2 linked regions of the Alligator mississippiensis genome follow. The protein of the gene in region 1 purifies or fractionates together with the protein of each later gene. This does not show direct contact. Links are inferred from orthologs where the notes say so. Each region holds a gene or a part of one and is shown in the gene's direction. Other genes may lie near its edges. The genes, in order: POLB and LIG3.

Region 1 (7,991 bases):
CTGGAGTTTTACAGCAAGGAGCCCAGTCTTGCCTCCAGGACCCAAAGGGTTTCTTGCAGTATTTACTGAACAGCAACAGGTTCTTCTTTTCTCATCCCTCCAAGAGAAATCCAACGCAGATTGTGTTGCTAACACCAACCTCAAGAGCACCTGCCAGGCACCATGGGCAACGTAGTGTCCCATATGACCCGTCACGGCACCAGAAGAGCTGCCGCAGCTCTCCAGGACCACCCGGGTGCCTGGGCCAGCAGCAGGAGGCGGGTTCCAGGTACACTGGACCCAGCAGCAGACAGACAAACAGCTGCACAAGGCTGCTGAGGATCAGAGTCGGACCAATCAGCACACAGAAGAGGGCACACACCCACCATGCCCTGGCAGCCAATCAGAATGTGAACAAGGAAAAGGAGCACCTTGGCCCACCTCCTCCAGCAGAGGCCAATCAGAGCAAAGATGGGTGGAATGGCCCTGACCCCGCCCATGCGGCCAGTCCACCCAATCACCTCACGCCTCAAATTGACCAATGGAAACGCGAGACTGCGATCCAGGCCCTGCTGCGATCCATGTTCGTGAATCGTGTGTCTGCCCTGAGCAGCGCGATCCCTGTCCGGTCCCAGCTCCATGGCTCTGAGCCACTTTCTCTCTCTCTCTCCGCCCTCGTCTCCTGGCCCCAAGGTCCTGTCTGTGCCACAGGACGGCAGCACTGGGCAGGTTCTTATTTCTCTGGCAGCATTTCCTGGCTACCCTGCCCAGTGCAAAGCTCAGGATTGTGGCACTGGCCGGGTTTTGCCAGGATCTCCAGGCCCCAAAGCCCGGTGAGAACCATGCCTAGGCAGCACTGAGCTATTTCCCTTATCTGCCCTTCTCTCCTGGCTGCAATGCACAGGGTGAGGCACTGGAGGGCAGCACTGAGGGTTTTTTAATACTACATGTATGCATAAGGTGCCACTTGCATATCTATTAACTGCACATATTAATATATACTAGATGCCCAGTGCAGCGTTGCTTGCATGAAAATCCAATGAGCCAATTTTTGCTTGAGATCATATTTTATTGCACTTCAACAGCTTCACAACACTTCCGCATACATAAAATCCTCAAACATATGACACTTCCTTACTGTAAGAGATTTACAACACTTCTGTACACACAACATTCCTGGTTTGTTACTCGAGTCAGCAGTCACTTCAAATCGAATGATTTCTGGGTGGGAGATTCTGGAAGCAGCCACATATAGTTGTCCATGAGTGAAGACAAGATCCAGAAGGAACACTCCTACTCTTTTTAATGTTTGCCCTAAGGCTTTATTGATGGTCATGCTGAATGCCACCTGCACAGGGAACTGTAGACGTGTCCACATGAATGGAAAGGTGTCGTCAGACAGCTTCAGTGCTACCCGAGGAATTAGTACTGTTCTTTCTGATCCAACAATTTTTGCCTCATGTAGTCTGCTGTTGATGATGGATTGCACCAACAGCCACGTTCCACTGCACAGACCTTAGGGGCAAGGTTTCGCAGAAGCATGATGAGCATCCCAGGCTTAAGGTGGAGCTGATGTGGAGGCAAACCTGACACCTCCATGGAATTCAGGTACTCAGTTGGCACAGCCATAACACGTTCATCCTCTGAAAGAGCACCTGCGCTTATACAAATCCATTCTTGGCCTGGAAATTTTGCCCCAGTAGCACTGATGATCTCCTGTACAATGGAATAATGCGGTGCCAAAATAGCTCTTTCAGATGTCCATCCTGGATTTTGATAGTTATCCAATAGATTTGGAAATGTCCATTCTATCTTTGCTGAGCGTATTTTGCACTTCGTGCATCAAAACCTTCCTTACATAGTTGCATGTTCTCACCAAGTTGGAAAACCTGGAAGTGGCTCCACAACTCAGATCACTTGAAGCATGCCTCTACTATTTGTAGCCTTGAGGCATTTTTCACAACAGGCAGGATTTGCTGAATATCATCCCCAAACACTATATCACCTTGCCACTAAAAGGTAAATTGGTCTGCAGTAAATCTCACAGCATCCGATCTAGTCTCCAGCATGTACCGATGAGCCATTGGTGCTTCATCACAGATGATGATAGGTGCTTCTCGAATCAGCTCAGCAAAGTCAGACTGGGCTGATATGCTGCAGGTGCTGGTTTTCAACACGTTCAGGGGTACCCTGAACCTTCGGTGCACAGTCCTGCCTCCCGTAAGCACGGTAGCAGCAATTCCACTGGATGCCACAGCCGATGCAATCTTCCCTTCCCAGTGCACTGCTGAAACAATCGTGTAGAAGCAGAATGTTTTTCCTGTACCACCAGGTGCATCAACAAATGCACAAAGTGGCTTTTGATTCTTCACTGCTTTCAAGATTGCACCTACCATTTGTCACTAAGCTGGAAGCATACATGGCAGTGAATCTTGAGCAATTTGGCGTTGCTCCTGCCGGTTATAGTACGGCTCCTCAGCTAATGCATTTGACATACATTTGCAGGGCTATGCCCTGCTATTATGTTCAGTACCGTAACAGCCTGAAGGGTAACGCTGCATGCAAGCCTAGCTGGCAGGCAGCGCCTCACCTACACAAACACATCAGTGAACTCGGTTCTCTCACCCAACTCCCTCTCCGAACAATTTCATCTATCGCAGTGAGGCTTCTTACTTACTAGGGCTGTGCGAGGATTTGGACAGAGCTTCGGATCCAGAAAACTTCGGATGCTTCGGGGTCGGAATCAGCACATCCAGGTCGAAGCGCTGGCCTCCTTAGGCTTCCCAAAGCGGTTTGGAACTACCGAAGAGCTTCAGAGCCGCCTCGGAGATCTGGCCGTAGGGTATAATGGGGAAACAATAAAATATAATTTTGTTGGGTTTTGTCCGATTTGGATGAGATTTTCCTGGGTGGTAGACTCCGCAGAGAGGATGAAGCCTGCCGAGTTTCAAGATCAGTGTAGGGGTTTGGCAGTAACAGCACCCCAAATTCTTGAAAACAAAACTCATGTCACATGTAGGCGTTACAACATAGCGGGGTGAAAACTGCAGGGGTGGTAGCTCTTACTGAGGCCACAAAGCTTGCCAAGTTTCAAGAACGGTGCAGGGGTTTGGGGGGGAACTGTCACCCCGCTGTGCCTTAATACACGCAGTGTCACCCGTGGCACGAGTTTTGCTTGTCGGCAGCTTGAGGTGCACTTCCCCCCAAACCCCTGCACCAATCTCCTTGAAACTTGGCCGGCTTTGTGGCCTCAGTAAGAGCTACCAGCCCTGCAGTTTTCACCCCCCTGTGGTGTGACATACAGTCGCGACATGAGTTTGGCTTTCAAGAATTTGGGGTACAGTTCCCCTCAAACCGCTGCACCGATATTCTTGAAACTTGGCAGGTTTCACGCTCTCATCAGAGGCTACCATCCCTGCAAGTTTCATCCAGATTGGACAAGAAACAACAAAGTTATAGATATTTCACTGATTCCTCATTATACCCTATGGCCGGATCTCCGAGGCAGCTCCAAAATTTCAGAGCCGCTTTGGCTGGATCGAGGCGGAAACCCAGTCCAGCACTCCAGATTGGATCACGGCCATCTGAAGCAGCCGGATCGGATCACTGCCGACTCGTACAGCCCTAATACTTACTAACGGAGACGGCACGCAGTCGACGTAACATTATAGATTGAGACCCAACTGTAGTGATATTTGAATACCTAAAGCGCTGTTATTTTAGAGAGAGAACGAGACTGCAGTTGGACCACTGTTTATTCTGGCAGGTAGTGTGTTCTACGCACACCCCGTTATTAGATGCATACCTGCGCAGTTTCAAATTCGTCGAGGCCTGTATACAAAGAATAACACTGTCACATCAACCTCTACTCTGAACAGTTTCCTATTTTACAACAAGGACCCCCAGCTCTCCCCTAGAACCGAACTGAAGTGACGTCTTGCAGTGCTTCCCGAACAGCGGGGGAGGCTTTCCTTGTAAAAAAGGGAAATTCCGTTCAAATGTGGGTAGCAAGGCACCGGATAGGCAGATTCGAGCAAAGGACCCGCTCTCCCGTCCCTGGCCCGCACCCTGCCAGCCGAATGGGGCTGCTGGGCATCGGAGTCGGACCAATCGCCACACAAGAGGATCCCAACAGCCAATCAGACTGCGGAGCAGCGGGACTGTCTCCTGGACCCCCCCCCCCCGGCAAGTCACAGCGAGGACTAGCGGCATGGCCCTGACCACGCCCACGCAGCCCTCCCCGCCAATCGTCACGCGCCTCCTGGCAGCCAATCGAAACGCGCGCTTGGCATCCCGGCTCTCGGGTCAACCCGATACGCTTCATTAGATTAGACCAGCCCCGGGAGTTGGCGAAACTCTTCCGTGCGAGTTTTGGGGCGCTCTTCCTGCGCATCTGCGGCTGCCCCCACAAAAGCTTGCAAGGCACGTCCCCCCACCCGCCCAAAAAGCACTCAGGCGGTCGAATAAAGGATGCCACACGTACCCGCAGACACCTGTGCGCACACATCCTCGCCACACACGTCCCTGCATCGCTCCTCAGGGGAAGTGCGGCACTGCCCCTTCACCCCCACCCCCCAACTGCTCTGCAGCAAGGACGACAAGCTCCCCTAGAACCGCACCTTTCTCATGTCTTTTTCTTTTGAAACAAAGAGACACCTCAGTTTTTACAAGCAAACGGCCCCGGCACACGGCGGTTGGAGCGCCGTTTGCCCACATGCTGCGCATGTCCCTCAAGGATGGGGCGCATTCGCACTGCTCCCCGGCGCGGGTTCTACTGAGCATGCGCCTGCCGCCGCGCATGCGTAGAGCGAGGCAGGAGGCTCGGCGGAGTGCGCAGGTGCGCGCCGGGCGCTCCGCGCGGACCGGGCTGCGGCCGGGGCCATGAGCAAGCGCAAGGCGCCGCGGGAGGGGCCCAACGAGGGCATCACCGACTTCCTCACCGGTGCGCGGGGCGGGGCAGGGTCGGGTGGGAGGGCGCGGGGCCGGGCGGCGCCGTGACGGTGCCGCTCGGTCCCGCAGAGCTGGCCAACTACGAGCGCAACGTGAGCCGCGCCGTGCACAAGTACAACGCGTACCGGTGAGTGCGGCCGGGCCGGGCTGGACCGGGGTGGGGTGGGCTGCGGGGGCCGGGCCGCTCCCCAGCAATCTGCTTCCCTGCAGGAAGGCGGCCTCCGCCATCGCCAAGTACCCCAGCAAGATCCGCAGTGGCGCCGAGGCCAAGAAACTGGTAGGTGTCTGCGCCCTGGGGCGGCCGCCCCACCTGCCGTGCTCGCGCGCTGCACAAAGACCCATACCTGCGCGTGCCCCTCGCCTGTGCTGCGCTCTTTGGTGCCTCTTCGCTCCAGGCGCGCTGCAGCGGCTGATGGTCATATCGCAACTCCCGCTGCCTGGCACCGCTGGGAGGCTTTGACGCCTGCCGGACCCTTCTGTCGCCCGCCACCACTAAAATCAAAACAGGCCTTCTTTCCTTCCCCCTGCCCCTTGCTTTGCAGGAAGGAGTCGGGGCCAAAATAGCGGAGAAGATAGATGAGTTTTTAGCCACTGGAAAGCTACGCAAGCTGGAAAAGGTCAGCCCTTTTGGTTTATTCTGTCTGACGCTTATTTTCTCTCCTCCGCCCCTGGAGAGAACGAGACTAGGAAGGGAATGGGTAAAAAGAGCAGGCAGAGAGAACCTAGCGTCCCTGGGACCACCATGGGGTGTGATCAGCTTTTACTGCCACCAAATGCGTGAGGCATTTGTCTGACGTAGACGCTTCCTGCGATACCTTTGTCACCCTAGTCCTGAGATGAAATGAACCAGGCAACTGCTTTGTTCCAGACTTGGGCTGTCCCAAATCTTCCAGTGCACTTAAAACCTAATTCCATCTATCCATGTATGTAGTAATGCACATTATGAAGCCTGAGAGTTTGCCAAATAATAAAATATTATAAGGCTAAGTATTTTGCCAGTACAGGGCACAGCAAAAATTAACAACCTATTGCCCTTCTTCCCCTGTACCAAACTAAAACTGTTGTCAGATTTTCCATCTCTAGCTAAGGCTTTACACAGTCCCCCAATTTTTGATAAATTCATTGTCAAGCCCAAGAAGGAAGTATATTCTGACATAAGGGCTCTCCCCTCTGAACACTGTGTTGAGGTCCCTTCCATGTAGATCTGAGTGAACTGCAGCACGCTTGTAGGTAATGTTGTCTTTTTGCTCTGAACTGTAACAAACCTTGAGTGCAGTAACTTGCTGAGGTACCTTGGCTTACCATGGCCTTGCAAGTGAATGAGAAATATCTGTCTGTAGATCCGACAAGATGACACAAGCTCTTCTATCAATTTCCTGACCCGAGTTAGTGGCATTGGGTAAGGATTTTTTCCTTGTGTACTTCTTTCTGTATGTTTTATGGAACTGACCTACCCATATGAAATGGTTCATATCCAGGATATCCTTTTCCCATGAGTTTCTTAGCTAGCATAGGTAAAATGTTAACTCCTAGAGAGCCACCTGCTTTTGGAAGCACAGCATTGCAGACAGGCATTATGTGCCAAAATCTGACTGAGGGGTGGTTTCGATACTGGCTTGGGCGGACACAGAGGCAAACAGCAAGCTCAGGCATGCTGCATCAGTCTCGCATATGCTGTGTGTGCTTTGCTGTCCTCTCTCTCTTCAGTCCTGCGGCTGCCAGGAAGTTTGTGGATGAAGGAATTAAGACACTAGAAGGTGAGTCTGTACTACGCATCTCCCTGATTGCGTGGTAGATACTTTGGAAAGACCTGCAATTTATGATGTGAACAACCTGCCCTCTGCAGAGTGATAAGTGATAGCAACAGCGTGGCTAGAGAGAGACATTCGGATGCTTAAGTCGGTACATAGAAGATGCGCTCTGCATATGTAGTATCAAGGGGGAGATAATACATTCGTGCAGGGGGTCACGCTAGGTGGTCCAAGAGGTCCCTTCCAGCCCCAACAATTCTGTGAAGTTTTCCAAGCAATGCACCCAGGCCTGAAATCTTGTTTGAGAGGCCAGGGCAGTGCATGTACCAACCAACCTGCTTCAGGAACCAGGTAAGTCTGAGACCAGTCAGGCAGACAGGTGACTTGAGCACCCCTTTTGCTTCAGCAAGTGCAGCGCAGGGTGTGGTAATGCAAAGATGGGTCAGGGTGCCTTAGGAAGTGCCTTACTTAAGGCTGATGGCTTAAGCTGCTGACATTTAGCAGCTTTGTACTTGCCAGGATGTGTTGTTTTGAGGAGTAGAGCTGTGTCCCCAATCCATGCCCTTGCAGGGAAGAGGGGTATTTCAGGGCACATAAGAGCGAAGGAGCTCTGAGCCAGGAGAGAACTGTCTCTGAAGCTAGCTTCGTGCTTCCCTCCATGTACTGCTGCTGGGGGTGAGGGGGCTGCCATGGCTTGTTAACACAATGCAGAATCTTATCCTTTACGTCGCTCTCTAAAGCTGCTATTCTTTAAACAATCTCTAAATGAACCTCCCTTACCATGCAGCTTTCTGTTTCCTCAAGTACTTTCCTTTGCAAGTGATCTTTGTGTCCGGCTTCTTCTAGATCTAAGGAAAAATGAACACAAGCTGAACCATCATCAGCGAATTGGGCTAAAGTAAGCATCATTTCTTGGACATAGTTGCTTGCCTTCCATATACACATCCCAAGGCCAGTTTCTTCTTTTAAGCAGCAGTGGCTATCTACCACAAAAATCCCCAGTTCCTGCCTCTTCCCAGCTTTAATTTGTGTTGTATGCAAAGGATAGCAAGGGCAACTTCTAAGGAGCATGAGACCAGCCGAGGGAATCCTGCAGTCATTAGTCTGCCACTGTCTATACCGTTGCGGGGGGGCAACTTGAACAATAGGAAGGCAAGATTTAAAAATAGATCGTGCATAGCTACCATTCTAATAGCTTCCTGCTATACAAAACACTTATCCTTTGTACATGCAGGTATTTTGAGGACTTTGAGAAAAGAATCCCCAGAGAAGAAATGTTACAAATGCAGGTAAAACATCCTTCCCCAAAGA
Region 2 (8,043 bases), on another chromosome or scaffold:
AAAACACTGCAGTGTTTAGGGTGGCATCAACCCAGATTACGTTCATTCTTTGCATTACCATTTCCTTGTTCTTAGAGGATACATTACTAAGCCCTGGTGTACATTTTTTCCTCTTTGAAAAGGCAGGTAGACACACATTTTGTTTCTATGGAAGAGTGAGGCCTGGTCCAAAGAGTTCCCTGTTAAGATTAGATTTGATTTGACCCAGTGACTCTTCTGGACACAGAGTTGAAGGAATCAAAGGCTGCAGCAGCACTATGATACTGGATCCTAAAATTATTACTCATCTATAAATGCATTTTACATGAGCTAGAGACTATTCAAAATTCAAGATAAGTAAGATTTCCAAGCTATGCCTACTTTGCATCCAATACACACAAGTTACAGCTTCCAGGGGTTGGATTAGCCATTCATAAAAGGCCACCTATGGTAGCAACTCTCTTCACAGCACTCCATAATGAAGTTCCTCCTCTCCAATTCCCAGAAGTTTTTACCCTTGGAGCCGATTTATTCTAGGCTATCAGCCAACTGAATTCTTAAGCAGGAGAATGTTTGTAGCTAGAATTGTCAGGAAGCAGTATTCATCTCATCTCAGAGACAGTTTGGGACAAAGAGGGCAGGACAGTTAGCATGTAGGTTTTTAAAAAAGTTTTTAAGAAACACTTCTGGATTCATTCAATTTAGTGAATAGGTTAAGGTTAGGAGCGAAGCCATTAGTGACTATCTTAAAATGTAATTTAATATTCAGGTTCAGGAAGTGAGAGACAGAAGATAAACTATATAGGTCTCCTCTCTCCCCAGCTTGAGTTCTGAAAAGCAAGGCTGCTTTTGAGTGGGAGATTTACATTTCAGACTTCTTAGCTGCTTTAATAATCCCTCTAAGGATGCCTGAGAAAGAAAGAAAGAAAAAAAGATATCCTGATTTAGATAAGCCCATTAGATCTACTCTAAAGGGAATTCTCTACTCAGAAGTCCCTGGTTCTTCAGCACTCACATTTAAAGTAATTTCTCCTATACTTTTTCCATTTTTTAAAGAAGGAAAGTCTGCAGAGAGCTTTGCTGCTAAGAAGAACAAGAACATAAGCCTCTCTTCCCCTCCCCCCCCCCCGGACAGTAAAGCAGCAACTGTGGTACCTGTGATTTTTTATAGCAGGGCAAGGCAAGTTAACTGGGTTTAATCTGCAGCAGCTGAGGTGCTCCAAGCCCCAGTTAACATCTGCTCAGAATGGCCTTAATGACCTTGTCTTAGAGAGAGCCTGCAGCCAGTCTGGGGTTTTCCAGAAAAAGCAGGTGCCTTGGTTAATAATGCTTGATGATAAGGATGGAGACTCTTTTTACTTTAGTTTTAAATAAAGTTATTTCAACACACACACTGCTTCTATCATGAGTATTTATTACAGGCAAATCCCACAAGTATTTATATAGCTGTTGTTAAATTACACTCTGTGGATTTAAAATAGCTTTAAAAATGTGCACGCATAAATTAGCTGCCTTCTCTTTGCAAAACTGCAAGCTCAGCTATGAGAAAGGAATCCTTCAAAGAATACATGAGAGAAGAGGAAGCACTTCATTACAAAGAAGGGGTAGTCTAATTCTGAACTGACAAGACAGAGGGGTGTGATGGGAAAGATGACATTACTGTAGGGCAGACTGATAGCATTATTATAGATACCTAACACTTTGAGTTATAAGACCTTGCTTTCAATTGCATATAGTTTTGCAACATTTTAGTTATTTCAGCTGAAATTTCCCATGATGGATACCTGCCTCAGGAGTCATTTATTGGTCAGTGTGCTTTTGAAAAAAGACTTGAAACAATTCTAACTGAGGAGTTTTTCGGCCATCAAAGGAGTCAAATGTTAAGGAAGGGTGGAGTCACAGAGGTTGTCTGGTTTCAGTGGTCTTTTAAGGAAGGAAGAAATATTGAGAAGATGGCAAAAGGGTCAGCTGGGAAAGAATCCCACTATAGTTGTGATATTGTTAGTAGAAGAGGCTAATAAGAGTTCCATGTTAAAGTGCAGAAGTAGACCTTGGAAACAATGGAGCACAGTGTTTAGGACCAGGAAGGGGAATTTGTTGTCTGTCTCTACCTTTGCTTTCTAAGAATTCTCTCTGGCCTTAGAATGCTACTAGGAAGCTACGCGTTCCCCAGCTGGAGGGACAACTGGCCTTGAGCTCTTTATCAGGCCCTTTGCTAATTTGGAACCAGATGGTGTTGTGGTGGCCACTGATTCACAGGTATGTATGCAGAACACCTGTACTGATGCTGGCTGGTAGGAACAGGCTGCCATATCCTGTGTACACTCTCCATGAGTGGCATATGGCAGGGAATGGGATTCCCAGGACAAGGAACACTCCCCCCCTGCTTTTCATAGCTTCATGGACAGTAAGCTGGTCCTAGACAGCCAGTCTCTTTAATCCACTAATGCAGCCTCCCCACTTCTCTCCTTCCCCCATCTGCATTATCAACTGCCTGTTTCCAATAAACTTGCCCAGTTGTAGAGTTGAGCCATGAATTTCAGATTCTGCTCCAAGCCCCCCTGAGTCTGAGTATACTCAGACCCAGGGCAAGGTCCAAGCCCAACTTCTATCCATTTCTTCACTTCTTCATGGAGAAGCCTCTGTCACTCAATATCCCATTTTGCAGAGGAGCGTCATGATGTGTACTCACTCCTCTCATCCTAGGCATCAGGGGATTCAGAAGCAGGCACTAAGTAGGATTTTCAGATGTTCCTGAATGTCTAACTTGCTTTGAAATTAACAGGTGACTTGTCAAAGGTCACCGAGTAAATCAGTGACAGACCTGAGACTAGAGCTTGGATCATTCGCCCAAGCTTTACCACTGAATCACAAAGGATTAGACTGGTTGCCCCTTTACTCTAGTAGGTTACAGTTGCTGATATGAACACCTTTACTGACTTCGGCAGGATTATTCTTATGAGCAGCTGTTCTCCAGTGGATCTCACAGTCTGACCCAACAGGCTTTTCTATCACTAGCTTCTAATTAGACTCAGTTTATATTATATTTTTAGCATCTTATCCCCATAAGTGGAATAAGTGGAACTGGCCCTGAGAGGGAATTGTAGTCCCTAGGTCATAAATGCTTTCAAGAAATGTAGTTACGTGATCAATGCTGAGGATGGATTAATACTTATTCTGTAGCCTTTGGGAGCCATACAAGTCATGGCTCACACACACAGGCTTTTCCTTATCCCCATATGAAGTCACACATGCTCTAGGGAAGGTACAAAGAGAAGGGACTCATTCAGCCTTGAAAGGAGAGACAAAGATCCAAATAATATGAAGCATGTGCTAGGGAGATTTTTTTATTAGGATGGCAACTCTCCAGCTCTGGGCCTGCAGATCTCCCCGTAGCAGACCACATCAGTGGGGTTATTACAGCCCAGTAATGACTACAACTCTCGCAGCAAATTCAGTCCTTTAGGATAAGAGCTCTTTTGCTGGATGTTAGCCAAGACCTACCCTTACTTTTGTTTCTGATCAATCCATGTTAATGGATATGAACCAAGTCAAAGCAACCCTTGCCTATGAGTTCTTACTGGATAATATTCACTGCCAGGTAGAGGATCTATGAGCTACTTATACTGCATTTAAGCGAGACTTTAAATGAGACTGAAGTGGCAGCCTTGAGTTAGGCCCCCTCTGCTGGTGGCAAATTCCACCTATGCAGGCCTGATCATGAAAACAGATCAGGGGCCATTCAAACACAAACCATTTCTACTATCAGAGCGGGAGGACACTTGGAAACCATTGTTCACCTTGAACAATGGTGAATCTCTTTCAGACTGAATTTATACACATCTCTTGTCCCATGCCTTGATGATTAAGGCTGCAATAGACTTTCCATTCTAAAACTGTATTGACAAATAGTTTCCCTGCATGTGCAAATAGATGAGCAATACTGAGCATCACCATGCATTACCTAAGCAGCATTATTCTACTTTTCTCCAAATCATTCTGTAATCCTCTCCATTTCTCTTATCTCTTTTGTTTTGTCTTGCCCCTGCTCAGTATCTTCTTCAGCAGCTACAGAGAAGAAACACTTGTTTACGGTATGGCAGCTATTAAAGGTCTCACTTCATTTGAACGCAGGGTGATTTGGGACATTTTCTCAGTACCAAGAAAACTGAATTCGTTCGAACATCATTGCTCTGAACGAAATCCTGCATCAAGACTATAATTTCTGTCCGAAGTCTAACACTCGAGGCTATTCCGGGGACAGGCAGCTTGTTTCTCCTGTGTATCATCCTCATAAATACTTCAGAAATGTGGCAAATGCTTCAGTCTGCTTTAATGTACGGAAAGAAAATACGGAGCCACAACACAATGTCCTCAGGCCGAGCCCCTGGCGCCGACTGCACCGGGCACCCGCTGAGACGAGCGGGTCAGTCGCACCAGACGGAGGCTTCGGGCCACGTGGCCGGACGGGGCCTGCCCTCGCCGCGGGCGTCACAACGGGCGGGGGGGGGCCGCCCGCGCTGGGGGCGGGCCTTGAGGCGAGGGCCCTCCGGGGCGCGTCAGGGGAGGGGCGGGGCGTGGTGAACCGCCAATCCCGGCAGCCCCAGCTCCTCGGGCCCGCGTGCGCAGGCGCGGTGCCCCGTGCTCTTGAGCCCCAGGAGTCGCAACCGGCGGGGTGACGCGCTTTGCAGGAAGGGGATCGTGCTTGAGGCGAGGGCGGGATCTGTCGCCTCCGTGCCGCGTCAGGGGAGGGGGCGGGGCGGGGCGGGGCATGGAGAACCGCCAATCCCGGCTGCCCCAGCTCCTCGGGCCCGCGTGCGCATGCGCGGTGGCCCGCGATCTCGAGTCCCGGATTTAAACGGGTCGCGGGGGCGGTGACGACGCCAGCCCGGGGCGGGGCCGAGTGCGGCCTGTGAGGCCCCGTCGCTCGTAGAGCCGGGCCCGGCCGCACATGCCCGCGGCTCTCCGGCGGCTTTTCGTGCAGGTCGCTGGGGCGCTGCGCCGCGCGGCGGGACCTCGCCTCCCCCAGGGCCGCGTCTTGCTGCCGAGCCGCCCCTGGGCCCGCCCGCGTCCCTGGCGCCCGGGCCTGCCAACGAGCAGCCCCCCGCGCGCCGGCCGGCCCGCCCCGCGCGCTTGGCTGTGCTCGGCGCCCGAGGCCATGGCGGAGCAGCGGTACTGCGTGGACTACGCCAAGCGCGGCACGGCCGGTTGCAAGAAGTGCAAGGAGAAGATCCTGAAGGGCATGGTCCGCATTGGGAAGGTTGTGCCCAACCCCTTCACCGAGTCGGGCGGCGACATGAAGGAGTGGTACCACGTGAAGTGCATATTCGAGAAGCTGGAGCGGGCTCGTGCCACCACCAAGAAGATAGAGGACATCACAGACCTCGAGGGGTGGGAGGAGCTGCAAGATGCCGAGAAAGACCTCATCAACCAGCTTATCTCGGGTGAGAGCCCCTGTGCCCCTTCCCCCGCCCCCTGCATCTTGAGGCAGGGACAGAAAACAAAGTTACAGCAAGGGAGAAGAGGCAGGGGCACTCGCACGCATGCGCAAGGTGACCTGTCATCTGCCCCTCGTTAGGGCACTGGGAGCCACTGCTGGTTTCTGGTCCCAGCTCTGCTGTGTCGTGCTGTGCGACCCTTGGCCAATCCCCATAACTTTGTGCTTATTTCTCTGTAGAAACGCCTTCCTAAAGGGCGGGATGTTTTGTAGCTCAGAAACAAGCTGCTTATTGTCAAGCATTGTGACTTGTTAAGTCTTATTGAATACTGTGGGGCTGTCACTGATTGTGGATCTCAACACTTCATCTCTTACAGAGGCCACATCCAAGTCTGCAAGCACACCTAAGAAGAAGGCAACAGTCCAGGCTAAGCTGTCCCCCAGTGGGCAGATAACCTCCCCCAAGAAAGATCCAGGAGCTGTTCCTAATCCATCTCCAAAGAAATTCTCTGGTTTCACAGGTCGGAGTTGGTATATAGATGCTGGGAGAAGCTTTTATTTCTCACATAGCATTCATATTTCTGGCGTTTCAAGCTGAGTCTCACACCAGTAGCTTTCATCTAGAAACTAGAAGATTGTTTAGTACAAACTACATTTCATATTTAGTTTGAGGAAAATGTTAAGTATTTTCTCAGCTGTCAGGTGTTTGCATTATTCTGGTTGTGTGAACAGGGATAAAACCAACCAAATATTCTACTCAGAAAGTGTAAGGGGACTACAAAAAATGTTTGACTGTCTCATCTGAAATCAGCAGAAACCTGCTCCTTTTAGCCTCAGTGGAAAATCTCTCATTGTCGTTAACAGGAGCAGGACAGGAGTTTCCCCTCTCTCTGTGGGGTATGAATAGTGAAGGTATCTGGAAAGCTAATATGGAACTGGCAAGCTGTTTTTTGTGACTTGTGTTGATTACGTTACCCCTTTGAAGGGCCGCTAGGTTTTGAAATGATGTGCCCTTTTATGCTAAAAGAGAGGCAGAAATAAAGCAGATAAAACACCTGAGCTTTTCTAATATATTTTAGCACTTCAGTTTGTTAAACTAAAGCCACCACCTTCCAAAACTGCAACTATTGTCCTCCTGGTGTGACTGTACTGTATAACCAGATACCTGAATATATTGAAGTTTGTAAAATGTAGGCTGTTACACAGCCTTTCTTTGCTTGTTAAAACTAAGATAACCCTTTATTTCTAAATGTACTTTTTTTTTTTGCATTGGAAAAACTGCTTCTGACAGCTACTCGAGAATCCAACTCAAATGGGGTATTCTTTTACAAGAAACAAGCCTCTCCGATAAATTGATCATTTGCCAAGTTAGTTCTTGAGCTTCATAAGAAACTGTGATGCAGCTGATTTAGCTCACTGAATTACAGATTTGCAGAAGGCAGGGCAGGGTAGCATCTTGGGGCTCCTATACACATGTACAGAGCCTGCTCTGGTGTGCTGGAAATCCAGCATGTAATCAAGTCTGCTGGAGCATGCAAATTGATGTGCTCCAGCAGCCTCACACGTCATGTGTATCAGTGTCGTCATGCATCTCCGCACTGACAAAATGCCAGTGGTGTGCTTTCAAATAAGCCCCATCTGATGAGCTTTAGTTCAAAGTGCCCTGTTGCCGTTTTTTCAGTGTGGCAATGCTGATACGCAGGATGCGTGGGCTCTTTTAATTAGCGCAGCTTGCTAATCAAAGCACCCATCCAGGAATGCACGTAAAAATGTCTTTGGAGACTCAGACGCTGGTCCTACGAAAGCTCAGTTAGAGCTGACTCCCCTGACAAAGTCACTGATTGTATATTGAACCCTCTGTCTTCAGTACTTGTGTAAAAGGATGCCCACCAGTCAGATAAGCTGTTTTTATATAATTGTAATAGAATATATTTTATCCACATGCAGTCTAAAATTAAATCGTCTCATCAAGTCATCCCATCTTTGGATGACTTGATCCTACTGTACATAAGATGTCCAGATCCTGCATAAGGTTGACAAGACAGGTTCCATCTTCCTGGTGAGAGCAGGTATCTTTGGAAGTTGATTGGAAAAAAAAACAAATAATGGTTAAGTGGACAGTTATAAGAAAACCTGTGCCTTTGTCAAGCCTTTTCCACCCACTGAAGATTGCCTTCATGGTTGCAGATATTGGGGAAATCTGCTGCAAGTCCAGAAAGTAAAATAAAATCATCACTCGCCACAGTTTCTTCGCATCAAGATTTAAACCATTGAAGTAGGTAGATTTAAGCTCCAGAAAATTCTTCTGTGCTCTGAAGGGAAAAGACTTATTAAAGTAGCATAAATTTTGTTTTAAATGCTGATTCAGATTTTGATCATAAATTCTCAAATATTGCTGTGCATTTCATTCATATTTGAAGCTTTGCCAGTTTGTTAGTATTGTTCTTGCTTTCCACTTGCGTGGACAATGGTGCCCGTCTCTTCAAAGTGTGAATCATATCATTCCAGCCTACATCTTAAAAATTTAAATAGTATGTCTTTCTCTTGCAGCTAAACCAGGCAGTTCTGGGGACACCCCTGCCAATTCTTCCCACAAGTCTACTCTGTCTTCAAAGAAGTGTGACCCA

What was found.
Region 2: the proteins of POLB (region 1) and LIG3 purify together in Homo sapiens (affinity purification with mass spectrometry; 3 studies listed by BioGRID and IntAct, counting the BioPlex papers as one, with this or other methods). This does not show direct contact. The link is inferred for Alligator mississippiensis from reciprocal best matches to the Homo sapiens genes POLB and LIG3.

The regions. Positions count from the first base shown.
Region 1 is NC_081830.1:17,181,817-17,189,807, forward strand, and holds the start of POLB (DNA polymerase beta), read left to right. Parts: upstream 1-4,795; 5' UTR 4,796-4,860; coding exon 4,861-4,921; intron 4,922-4,998; coding exon 4,999-5,056; intron 5,057-5,139; coding exon 5,140-5,206; intron 5,207-5,471; coding exon 5,472-5,546; intron 5,547-6,269; coding exon 6,270-6,328; intron 6,329-6,636; coding exon 6,637-6,686; intron 6,687-7,526; coding exon 7,527-7,578; intron 7,579-7,914; coding exon 7,915-7,969; intron 7,970-7,991.
Region 2 is NC_081837.1:26,293,500-26,301,542, forward strand, and holds the start of LIG3 (DNA ligase 3), read left to right. Parts: upstream 1-4,870; 5' UTR 4,871-4,930; coding exon 4,931-5,423; intron 5,424-5,793; coding exon 5,794-5,937; intron 5,938-7,966; coding exon 7,967-8,043. UniProt on the Homo sapiens protein: Isoform 3 functions as a heterodimer with DNA-repair protein XRCC1 in the nucleus and can correct defective DNA strand-break repair and sister chromatid exchange following treatment with ionizing radiation and alkylating agents.